Linked DNA regions of Caenorhabditis elegans. The protein of the gene in region 1 purifies or fractionates together with the protein of each later gene. This does not show direct contact. Each region holds a gene or a part of one and is shown on either strand. Other genes may lie near its edges.

The links. Proteins that work in one complex are often made in the same cells at the same time.
Region 2: the proteins of C41H7.2 (region 1) and C46C2.2 fractionate together in Caenorhabditis elegans (co-fractionation; one large-scale study listed by BioGRID). This does not show direct contact.

The regions. Positions count from the first base shown.
Region 1 is NC_003280.10:3,012,155-3,018,339, forward strand, and holds C41H7.2 (AT-rich interactive domain-containing protein 2), read left to right. Parts: upstream 1-2,662; 5' UTR 2,663-2,680; coding exon 2,681-2,851; intron 2,852-3,685; coding exon 3,686-3,931; intron 3,932-4,206; coding exon 4,207-4,433; intron 4,434-4,478; coding exon 4,479-4,571; intron 4,572-4,616; coding exon 4,617-4,826; intron 4,827-4,872; coding exon 4,873-4,953; intron 4,954-5,030; coding exon of another isoform or gene 5,031-5,046; exon of another isoform or gene 5,047-5,049; intron 5,050-5,193; coding exon 5,194-5,317; 3' UTR 5,318-5,360; downstream 5,361-6,185. Other genes in the region: C41H7.9 (Movement protein), read right to left, coding at 1-79; clec-3 (C-type LECtin), read right to left, coding at 5,372-6,153.
Region 2 is NC_003282.8:9,215,366-9,221,210, forward strand, and holds C46C2.2 (Major facilitator superfamily (MFS) profile domain-containing protein), read left to right. Parts: upstream 1-2,360; 5' UTR 2,361-2,388; coding exon 2,389-2,533; intron 2,534-2,752; coding exon 2,753-3,213; intron 3,214-3,264; coding exon 3,265-3,481; intron 3,482-3,539; coding exon 3,540-3,651; intron 3,652-3,697; coding exon 3,698-3,812; intron 3,813-4,165; coding exon 4,166-4,459; intron 4,460-4,542; coding exon 4,543-4,697; intron 4,698-4,744; coding exon 4,745-4,808; 3' UTR 4,809-5,032; downstream 5,033-5,845.

The sequences.
Region 1 (6,185 bases):
CGACATTGCTCTGCTCGGCGATATCGCCGAAAAGATCGGCCAACTCAGTGTACTCAACCTCATCGTCGTCGAGTGCCATAATTGTCTTGAAAAAAATAAAAAAATAGATAAATTTGCGATCGTTTTTTTTTTCGATAATAGGAAGGTTGAGGGAAGGGGTTTACTGAAAATTGTAAGGTATTTTTAGGAACCCGCAACCCTTCTTTGAATTATTCAGTATTTTCTACAATTTTAAGAACTATTTTGTCGCGGAAGCATAGCCAAGTTGTTCGATTTTAAGGATATTGCAAAACAAATCAAAAACTTGATCAACTAGAGCTACAGCTAAACTTGCACATTGAGAACATCAATTGTTAAGTTGCAAATTCGATTTTTTGGCGATGCATCAGGGGTGGTGTGGCAGACAATTTTTTCTGGCAAGCGGCAAATTTGGCAATTGCTGAAATAGAAAAATTTTGGCACAGTCGGCAAATTGCCGATTTATCGAATTCGCCGAAAATTTTCGGCAAACCGCCAATTTGCCGATTTGCCGAAATTGCCGGAAAAAGAAATTGAAAATTGGAAAAGTGAAATTGTGGGCTTGCACTTTTTTCTGGAAGGTTCAGAATTTTAATTTTGAACGACAAAATTGTACACATGATATAAATGACTTTTTTTTCAAAGAAAACGGGGAAAAAATTCCAAAAAGGCGCCGTTTTAAGTGTATCCGTCTTCCGGAAAATTGTCAGATTTTTAAATTTCTGACAAATCGGCAAACCGGCAAGGTGTCGGATTTCAAAATTCCGGCAAATTCCAGCAAGTTTGCAATTTTCGCAAATTCCTGTAAACCGGCAAACCAGTAAAAAACTGGAAAAAAAATCCGGTAAACCGCAAATCGGCAATTTGTCCAAAATTGCCGGAAATAAATTTACAATTTTATTTCTTATTCCAATAATGCGCTTTGTATGAATGACCACAACTTTTCAATTTAAATTTGAAGGTAGGCAAATAGGCAGATAGGTTAGAGAAATTTCTCCATTTCTTCAAAAGTTGTTTTTCCAGAATGGCAAAATGAAATTTCCAAAAGAAATAAACAAAGAGCGTATTTTCTCGTACTTTTCATTAATCTTGGCTCTGGCTTTTCGTCTTTTTATGGGAGCCTGGGCCCGTGATTTTTGTGCTCATTTTAGTAGGAGGCTGCTCTTCTTGAGCTTTCGTAGTAGGCAGCCAATTTTTCAGGCAGCCTGTCTATTTCCTACCGCTAACTTTTGTTTCTCAGCTTGTCTTGGTAGTTTGATCGGAGACAGGCGAGCTGGGGAAAAAATGTCGATTGCCCTATGACCCAACGCAAAGCAATTCTCCCTCGTTCATCACCAACACCGTCTTCGATATCAACATTTTCCGATTAAGAGCAGCCCCGTCCAGACAGATCTTCATTACAATTTATTTTAAATTTCCCTTTCATCCTGATCTTGTCCTCCTGAGAAGGCTGTAATATTTTTTTTTAATTTCCCGTGTTTTTTTTTTGAAATTTTCAATATCCCGTATCCAATCCAGATTGTCGAAATTTCCTCGATTTTTCAATTTTCTTTTCTTTTTGTGGGGCAATTTTTGCAGTTTCTTGTCAGTTTTCATTAGCTAAATCTTTAGTTTCCAAATTTTCATTAAAAATGAAATTCCATCAATATTTTTTCACTTTTTTTCATTAAGTTTTGTCTTTTTTGGTACTTTCTCGGCCTTTTTTATGGGATTTTCTGAACCGACTTTGGAATGATTCTTTTTCTGGTTTTTTTTGTTGTTTTTCCTTTTTTTCTGGATTTTCAGTAATTTCTGGTAAATTCTTTTTTTCTCCCCCCCCCCCTCCTCCCCAGTCCCATATAGGCCTAGTCCTAAGCCTGAGCCTAAGCCTAAACCTAAGCCTACGCCTAAGCCTAAACCTAAGCCTACGCAAAACCTAAGCCTAAGCATAAGACTAAGCTTAAGCCTAAGCCCAAGCCTAAGCCCAAGTCTAAGCCTAACACTAAACCTAACCGTGAGTCCGAGCCTTAGCCTTAGCCTAAGTTTGAGCCTAAGCCTAAGCCTAAGCCTAAGCCTAAGCCTAAACCTAATCCTGATCCTAAGCCTATGCCTAAATAAGTTTTTTTTGATAATTGGTAATTTTACTACCCATATAAATGGTTTTTAAACATTTTCCCACTCCACCGATAAAGAAAAAATAGAGTAAAAACTCGGGCCAATCAGCGACGTCGACCACGCCCCCTGTACTTCGCTGATTGGTCGCGGGAACATTTCTGCAAAAACCCAAAATTTTATCATTTTTCCAGAGTCTAACTAATGTTTGCATTTTAACTTTGCATTTTTTTTCATTTTTTTTTCATCTTCTCCCTTCACTCCCGTTCTTTTCTATTTGCTTTGCCACTTTTGTTTCAAATTTTTCGCTCGAAACGGTTTTTTGAGAAAAATTTCACTATTTCTTCCATTTTTTAGGTGATAAGGTTCACCCGACTGCTATCAATTTGGCGGTTGCCGTTTAAAAAAATTGATAAGTCGAACAGCAATTCTTATCATTTCTGACCTCATTAATACTCCAACCACACTTTTTTTTGTACGTTTCTTTTTTTTTTAATTTTTAAAGAATTTTTGGCTTAACTTTAATTAATTTTTTTTCTAAATGACTGAAAAATTTCAGATCGGGGAAAAAATGTCCCAAGAGCAGCTCGCGGAGCAATCCCGACGAGAATTTCAATATCAAATGCAGATGCTCCAGCAGCGCGTCTTGCAGCAAGGGCAGGCTTGGCCAATGCCGGGAGCTCAGCAGCTCCAACAAATGCTCCTGGCTCAGCAATTCATGATGCAGCAGTTTCGGGCTCAGGTACGTTTGAAATTTTAAAAGTTAAATTTGAGAATTTTTTGAAATTTTTTAAAATTCAGTTTCATTTAAATTTCCCCAACTTACCCAATTTCCCCAGTAAATTTCCCCAATTTCCCCAGTAAAACATTTTGTTTTAAAAGTTTTGAATTGTTTTTTGAATTTTTTAAAAAGATTTTTTCATTCATATGGAAATGTCAGTCTGACACTGTATTTTTTGAAAGTTTACTGACATTTTTCTGATTTTTTATTTTTTTTGGCAAACTGAATTTTTTCAAAATTTCAGCAAAGATTATTCAAATTTTTTTTTAATTTTCTCGATTGGCAAGAATAAGCCTAAGCCCACATCTAATGCTAAGCCTATACCAAGGCCTCGGCTTAAGCCAAAGCCTACGCCTAAGCCAAAGCCTGAACCTAGGCCTAAGCTTGAGCCTAAGCCTACGCTTAAGCCTAAGCCTAAGCCTAAGCCTAAGCGTTAGTCCAAACGAAATATAATTGAAGTTGAAAAAAAAATCAAAAAAATGATCCGATAAGTTTGGAAATATACAATTTTCTCAGCAAAAAAAAATTAAAATTTCTGAAATTTCTACGACTTTGCTTTAATTTGAAAATGAGCTGATTTTTTTTATTTTTAGAAAAAAAATCTGAACTTTTCTAGATTTCTCGAATCGCTTCAAATGAAAACTTCAGTCCAAACTTTAAAAATTTTTATTATTATTTTTTGCAACACTAGAAAAGTTGGGAAATATTCAGATTTTTGCGTCGTTTTGAAAATTTCCAAAGATTTCTTCCTTACTGGAGCTTTTAAAATTTCTCAATTTCAAAAAAAATTTCCAGCAACTCCCCGCATCCTTCCAACTCGATCCAGCTGCTCCACAGCTTGTCAAAGCTCCGGTGAAGAAAACGAGGCGCCGAAAAACCACCGAAAAGCCCAAACCACCGCAGCCTACAATATCTAAAGAAGCACCAGAAAATCCCAAAACTTACAAAACGTACCAAGTCCCTCAATTTGAGCGTGGTGAGACCCTTCGGCACTATTTGGCGTGTATGATTGCAAATCTACCAATGGACAAGCGTCAGGAGGTAAGGGGGTCATTTGTGGTTCCACGTGGTGTCAGGCTGGTCCATCACGGTTTGATCTACAAAAAATGCGGGAACTTTGTCATGAAAAATGTGACGTCAGCACGTTTTTAACCATACGAAATCAGTTTCTCGCAATTATCGCAAATCTAAGTAGATCAAACCCAAATGGGGTAGCCTGACGTGGTCCCAACTAGTCCAGGTACCCGATCATGGGGTCTTGTACACCTGGGTACCCATGACCAAGGATCCTCATAGATCACAGTTTGTCTTTTCAGAGCCTCTCCCCATGCCCCACAGCTTCCCGTCAATCTTCCCACAGCATTGCCTCAATTTTGAACCTGGAACCCCCCAGCGACATCTCCATAGCCTTAGCAATTCTCAAGGAGCACGAGACCTCCGTTGACTTGTGCAGGATCTCAGATTCAGTGATGGCGGCGTTGAAGCTGGAGCCAACGGTTGCGGAGCCCGAGGCTCCTAGAGCTTCGATGGGGAGTCGGAAGAGGTTAGTTGATCCTGAAGAAGCCCACTAAAACGGATTTTTTTTCAGAAAAAGTACCCCGACGAGAAAGTTATCCGGACAATTTGAGGATGCTTTGATGGAAATTGTGGACGCACCTCCAGTCAAATGCTCGAAGAGCCAGTAAGATCCTCCTCAAAAGATTTGCTAAAAATCCAGAAATTTCAGAGCCAAAAGTTCTCAAAAGCTCAACCAACTTCTAGATTCTCTAATGGAAAGAGCTAGCTCATTTCAAGCTGCTGAGCCCCAAGCTGCCGAGCCCCAAGCTGCTGTGCCCATAGCTACTGAGCCCCAGGAAAACTCAGAGTTCGAGCAGTTTTTGAAGTCCGCCATGGAGATTGCCCGTTCTTCTGAGAGTTCCGTCTCACCAGAAAATGGGTCAGTTTCAGCCCTTCGAAACCCGAAAAAAAAATTGAAATTCCAGAGACGAGAGGCATCTTGCAAATGTTCGGGAAGAAATCGGCGGGCTCCCGGTGGAAAATCAAGAGCAGGAATCTAAAAAACAGTGAGTAGCTGGCTAGTCCAGTAATATGTCGGCTGCACTTAGCACTTCATTCAATTTATCGTAATTAACTAATTCAGACAAATTGAGCTATAATATGTAAGTATATGCCTTCCGGGAAACCCATTAAATGTCGGCTGCAAACTTAGCCACCCCTCTTTTTTTACCCTTATGATGTTGTAAATGTCTTTCTTCCCACTCTTGACCTCCAGTCCAAAATCTTTTCAAGCTATTTTCTTTCAGGCCGGATGAGCACTTTGATGGAGCCCTAATGGAGGCGAAAATCCTGCGGGTTCTGAATCGCATGACTCCGGAGCAAGGAGCACTCATGGAGAGAGCATTTTATAATACTTTATTAACAGTTTAAGCGTTTTTTTCATATATTTTATTAATGAAACTTTTATTTAAAATTCATTAGAATTTAAGTAGAATACGCCACAAAAGTGGCACTGAATCCTTTGAAGACATTCCTCGAATCTGTTGCGAACGTGACGAAGAAGTTATTTCCTTTTGAAATCAAGTGGAATGGCTCACGAGATCCACTATAAGTTCCAATTTTCAGCCCATTTGTTGATTCCCCGTCGTATACCGTAACCAGATCGACATTCTCCTCTGTTGAGAAGGATGTAAATTCAAGGAGGATGTTGTAGGATCCCAAGGTGGAGAGCTTGTAGCTGCAGTACACGTTATTGTCATAGTTTTGTGGGTAATTTGGTGATGTTATAATTCCGGGGGTCATCAGGACAGTAGAGTTGCAGAATGACTCATTTGATGGGACAGGTGTCACTGTGACCTTCGGCTGGTCTGTGGAGCATGGCACCCCGGCAGGCCGCTTACAGAAGAAGCTGGACAGACCTTCGCAATCAACACCGAACCATTGTCCCAAATTATATTCCGATGTTCCATTATTCGCCATGGCAATACACCGATTCTTCGGATTATAAACTGAGTCGATATTACTGTAGTCCCACATAGTTCCATCCACCCAGGTGTTCATGTGATCCATAGGCCACATGCCTCCAATAAGAACGTTATCGGAAGCTCTATGGCTGGCTATGTTCATGAGATAACGGTTCTCGTTAGCTGAGTGGATTGAGACTAGGTTTCCGCATTCCTCCTCGCAGATTGCCTGAGCGGTTGTGAAGGATGACTGGTTATGGGAGAAGGTGTAGCAATAGTTGTTGTAGTTGTAGTAGCAGGGATCTGGAAGAAATGAACAGTTAGGGGCCTTGGCT
Region 2 (5,845 bases), on another chromosome or scaffold:
GTGCCTAGAAATGACAATAAAAAGAAAAACATCTTTGAGTTGCGTGCCAACGTGAAAGTTTTTTCGGAATGTCAGCAGGCCTGTAGAATTGCACAAGCGGATATTTTGAAAGTTTGACATCATATTTTGTTCCTTAGCAAATTTGGAATTAAATATGTGTTGTTATCAAATATTTGAATGTACAAATCAGATTTTATAAGCGCGACTTGCGGTCCGCATAATTATGGGCCACCCTGTATTTAGACATTCGGTTAAATATGAACAATGTTTCATTTAATTTTGGTATTGGTTAAGCAGATTTTTTCCGGAAAAAACGACACACCAAGATTGTGATAACTTGGCATTCCACCATCTATATTAATTCAAACCACATTACTAGTGAAACTTATTTGATTTTTCTTTCAAAAATTGTACTTGTTTGGTATTTCGCCCCTCAGTTGCACTCATTCCACTTGAAAAGTTTCCAAAAAACGTTCAAGGTCGAACGAAATTTCCGAAAAATAATTCACATTTTTTACGATTCACAACTATTATTTTTTGTCATATTACTTGCCCTTTTCCATTTCAGTTTGCATCCTTCAAAATGTATTTCTATGGCCAAAAGATTCTGACGTCATCAGTATTTTCGTCGTGCCGTTTTTGATGTGCTCCGGCTCTTTTGCTTACTACTTTTTTCTTGAGAAACGTGCAGTTTTCTGTTTTTGCTAGGGATTAGAAAACATATATGTTATCTGGTTCCAGACTTCTCCTTATTTGAAGAGATTAACTTTCTGAAATTGTTGGGATTTCCAATTGTCGGTAATTCAAATCTAAGCAGTTTCTGAAATCACCGATTACTGGAACATTTAGATCTCCGCAAATCTCTAGTTACAAATAGGTTTGGAACGACAATTTCACATGAAGCAACATTCTGGACATTTTAATGAAAAACTAGGCAGACTTATACTTTCAGAAAATAGCGTTGAGCACACAGCGCAAACTTTCACAATTCAATCGTTTCCCACCCTTTCAATAAAATAACAAAAAATCCGAAAAATTCCTCGACCTATCTCTTATCTTTCTATTATTTTTCTCAATCTGCAGTGGTTTTTGATGTTCCGCCCTCTTCCGTTTGTCCTCACGCACACAATGACACGTATTCCTCTCGGACTCTCTCCCATTTTTGCTTCTGCTCACATATCTGAACTACTTGCGCGGACCGAGTCAACGAGTGAGTGTACGAGATTGAGAGTGGACCAGACATTGACAGAAGGCCATTTGAACGTAGAGATAGTGGATGTTCGGTTAGAAACGCAGACAGTTATGATGGTTACTACTGAGCCTCTCTAACCCCCTCGGTTTTCCGTTCATTTGCGATGCCCACGTGCCGTTTTAAACACATCCTTTTTTGCTGCTTTGTATGACCTATAATCTTTAGTAAATGTATACATTTCAATGTAATATTTACTTGAGGGCAGGAACCAAACCAAAAAATTATTTCTTTGAAGTAATTTAATTTTCATTAAATTAACTGCACACTTTTAAAATCGTTGCATACTTTCTGATAAAGCACATGGAAACTTTGAAAACATTGACGATATTTACAGATTTTACAGTTACGAAAGTTGAACACATTTTTGTATTCTCCATTTATGCATTTTTCCACTTCTCATTGTTCTCCGAAAAAGAAAGAATAGTGTAAGTAACACGAGCTTGACCTCAACATATGCTGGGCGCCCGTAGAAATGACGCAATTCTTTAGATCTCTGCGCTCCCGTTTCACTGCTCTCCGCCTGGCTACTGCCACCACGTTTATTTCTTATCGCTATTTCAAGTGTTCGTCATATTTTTTATGTGATTTTTAGTTTATTCTGTCGTGTGACTTTTCTAAAACAAATTTTTGGCACAACTTGCATCATTGCAGAATTTGCAAAATTTGTGGTTGGCGTCATTTTATAGATCGTTACGACAAGAAAGTTTTTGATTTCAGATTTAGACTGGAATATGTAGCTACTTTTTGATTAAGTCTTTCCACAAGAACAAATTTTCACATAAATATTTGATGATGTTGTTGTTTGCCCAAATATCAGAGAAATGCTTAATATTTCAATGTCCTTCCCTTCAAACTTACATGTATTTATTCCTAAATAACTAACCGATTTCCTGATCTTATTTAAAAAGACCAAAACTCTCATTTTTCTGTACGACTGAACCAGTAGATGATTTTGCCAAAAAATTCGATGATAAATGGCTATCATCTTAGACTCTGCTGTTTCTCGTTCTTATCTTGTAAACAAGTATCAGGTCACTCCTTGTTTTTATTCCCTTCTTCTCTTTAGAATCGAAAATATTTTCAAAAATCTTTAAAATTAATATTTCAGTTCAACTCAACTCCACTAACCTATCACAATGCACATCATTCCACCCGGTATCTACCGGGTAGATGTGCTCATTTTGATCTCATACCAAATGTGCCATTTCTTCTCAATTCAGCAACTGTTTCCCATTTTCCTGAACTACACTCCAAAGACAAACTGCATCCAGACTGCCCAAGGTAAAAAAACTGAAGAGAACAGCGAAAAAAACTGAAGTAAACCAGCGCCTTGGACCGCTCGGCCATCTCTCCGCACGAGAACTAGCTTTGAAAATGACAATTTTGAATAAATGAGAAGAGTGACTGCAGCTGCAGCACTTGAGAGATAGATCGCTCGTCAACACCTGTGGTTTTCTCGCTGAAGTCTCCATAGAAAGTATCTTGCAATTATTTTTTCAGGAAAAGTATGCTACGATGTTCCAAAATCCAAGTGCCTCGAGTACAATGAAAATTTCCCTAACCTTTGCGCCAATTTGACTGGAACAGCTCTTTCGGATTGCCACACAGAGAAATCACATTCTTATTATTCATCCGCCGCTATGGAATTCGAAATTTACTGTCGTCCCGGATGGAAGGATTTCCGTCCAGCTTTTGTTCAATACGTTGGCGTACTCATCGGAAATATTATTCTCGGATATGTAGCTGATCAAATTGGCCGAAAGAAGACTTTTATTCTGTCAATGCTCATTGGAATTCCATCACTTTCACTCTCAGCCACATTCAATTCCATTGCCGCATTCTACATTTTCCGCGCTTTAACTGGAATCGGAATCGCTGGAACAATGATTGTCGGATGGGCTTATTTTTCCGAGTTGGTATCGCCACATCAGAGATTTAAGCTCCGAACATTCAGTAACTGGGTAAATAGTTTCATTCTAGAATGTCTGCAATTTACCTAATCAATTTTTCAGGCAAATGCACGTATAATGCTAACTTTGGTAGCCTTATTCACTGGAGAATGGCGTCTATCATCTCATGTATCTGCTGTTATTTCTCTTATCACTCTTGCGATCGTCTATTTTATTCTTCCTGAATCTCACATTTGGCTCCGTAAAAAAGGACGTTATGAGGAGGCAGAAGTGAGCCGAAAAAGGATTGCTGATCTCGCTGGAATCGAATTTGTTCCAAGTATGAAAACTGTATTTTTCAGAAATTGTTGTTTTTTCTAACTTTTCAATTCTTTCAGTGCCACCACCAGAGAAAGCTGCGGACAACGTTGAGCCAGAAAAGGCCGTCAATATTTGCACAGTATTCGCTGATCCTCAACTTCGCAAGAATATTCTGATTCTTTGGCTCATGTAATTTCACATTTTAAATTTTTCTTAGGAAAACTTAAATTTTCAGGTGGTTCGTAACTGGAATGACCGCTTATTTGACCGATTTGTGTGGAGGAGATATGACAAAGAACTTCTGGGTTGGACAATTCCTTTCTGGAATTTTGCTTTCAGTTGTGAGAATCGTAAGTTGAAATATTAACCAGACACGAAATTCTACGATTTTGGCCTCAAAAATACGGTGCCGGGTCTCGAAACGCATGTAAAGATTACTGTAGTTTCAAACTTTTGTTGAGGCTGAATTTTTATCGGCTTTTCATACTTTTTCGAAATCAGAAAGACAAAAAATATGAACAAATTGTGAGAAAAACTTAAAAAATCCCTGAAAATTACGCAGAACAAGATATTGAAAGTTACAGTAATCTTTATAGGCGCACATCTGTTTGTATTTTACAAAAAAATGTTTCGAGACTGGGTACTGTATGTACAAAACTCCCCGTCTGGGTAAATTTTTCAATTTAATGAATACATTTTCTAGATCATGGGCTTCGCTGACGGCTACCTTCCATGGATGGGACGCCGTTTCGTACTTCTATGCTCTCAATCTCTTGCTATTGTCTTCTTCGGATGTGTCATTGCCTTCTTGTTTGCCGGAGAAAAGGGGCAATGGTATTACACGGCAGTCTATTTGGCATCATTCGTGTTCACATCAATTGTTTGGGAACCATGCTACTTGTGTGCTTCTGAGCTCATGCCAACAGATGTTCGTGCCACGTCAACTGCTTCATGCTCAATCGTAGGAAGATTCGCCAACATTGGAGCATCTATGCTGGTTAGTTTTCATTACAGATCTTAGGAAATTATCTTGAATTTTACATTTTAAAACCTAAAATATTTAAATTTCTTAAATTACAGAGTGGTCTCAAAACCGTCTACGAGCCAGGAGTACATATGATCTCAATCAGTCTCGGTCTTACCAATGTGGTAGCCGCCTACTTCTTCCTTCAGGAAACCAAGAATTGTAGTTTGGACAAGGCTGGAACATCTGCAGCAAAGCCAGCTGAAAAGGCGTATGTTTTATTATAGGAAATACACTTTTAATTCTTTAATTTTTCAGTAACGAGCAAGAAATGAAGGATCTCATCAACAAAGGCGAGGAAGAAGACGTCGAGAAGAAATAAAGCATCCGTCGGATTGAAATTTATTTGTTTGATTCAAAATTATCTTACCTCGTTCAATTTTATCCTCTCCTTTTTCATCTCTTTCCAGTATTTTGTTATTTTGTTCCAGTTTTTTTTTGAATTCAGAGGCAACCCACACAGCATAATCAACTCGCACCTCTATTCACTGTCCATTTTTTTTTCTTGAATAGTTTGAAAAACTCAATAAACAAAATTAAATAATTAATTCAGCTGAATGTGTTTCACAAGTGTACAACAGCTTCCGAAAGCTTTCAAACTAGATCTTCCTACATAAAATCTCAAAACTATAGGCCGAAGTTTTCTATACGAAATATAGCAAAGACCACTCAAGTTGCGCTCATTCTGCAAAAACAACACAACATTTGAAATATTTAAGAAAACAGAACGATAATAAATAACCCTTTTTCATATCCAACAAACTGGTCTCACCACCATTCATGAAGCCACGTAGAAGAAAATCTCCCAACTTAAACAAGGATTTCAGGAAGAGATGTGCAAAGAAGAGGCCGGCCCAGGAACCTTCTGGATCCATAACCTATAACATAGGTTGCATTCGAACTATTAAATTGACACAGAAGTGCTTAATTTAAAAGAGTAGATTTGGCTTAATCTGTCAGAGAAGCCAAAATCTCAACTTTTTCAGTCACATTCAAATAATTGATAAAATTGACAAAACCCTATTTGTGCCGAAAATCTTCCACGTGGCACATTTTCTCATTTATTCCACTCAATGAGCCACGCGGAATCAAGCTTTCGGGCACTAGGATTCTCACACACACACACAACTCAAGTTCAGCAAATATCATCGTGTTTTTCATATTTCAAAAAATTCAACCGTGGTGTTTGGGTAATTTCTAGAAACTGCAAATATTTCTTGTTTTTTTTACAGCTTCTTCGGGAAAAAACATCTTATCATTGGGGATCAACAGTCATCAAAAAACTATTCTCAAAAAACGAAGGTCTTTGAGCGTCCTCCCACTCGTTTTTTGGGAAGCTAAGCAAAATTATTGTCTGGT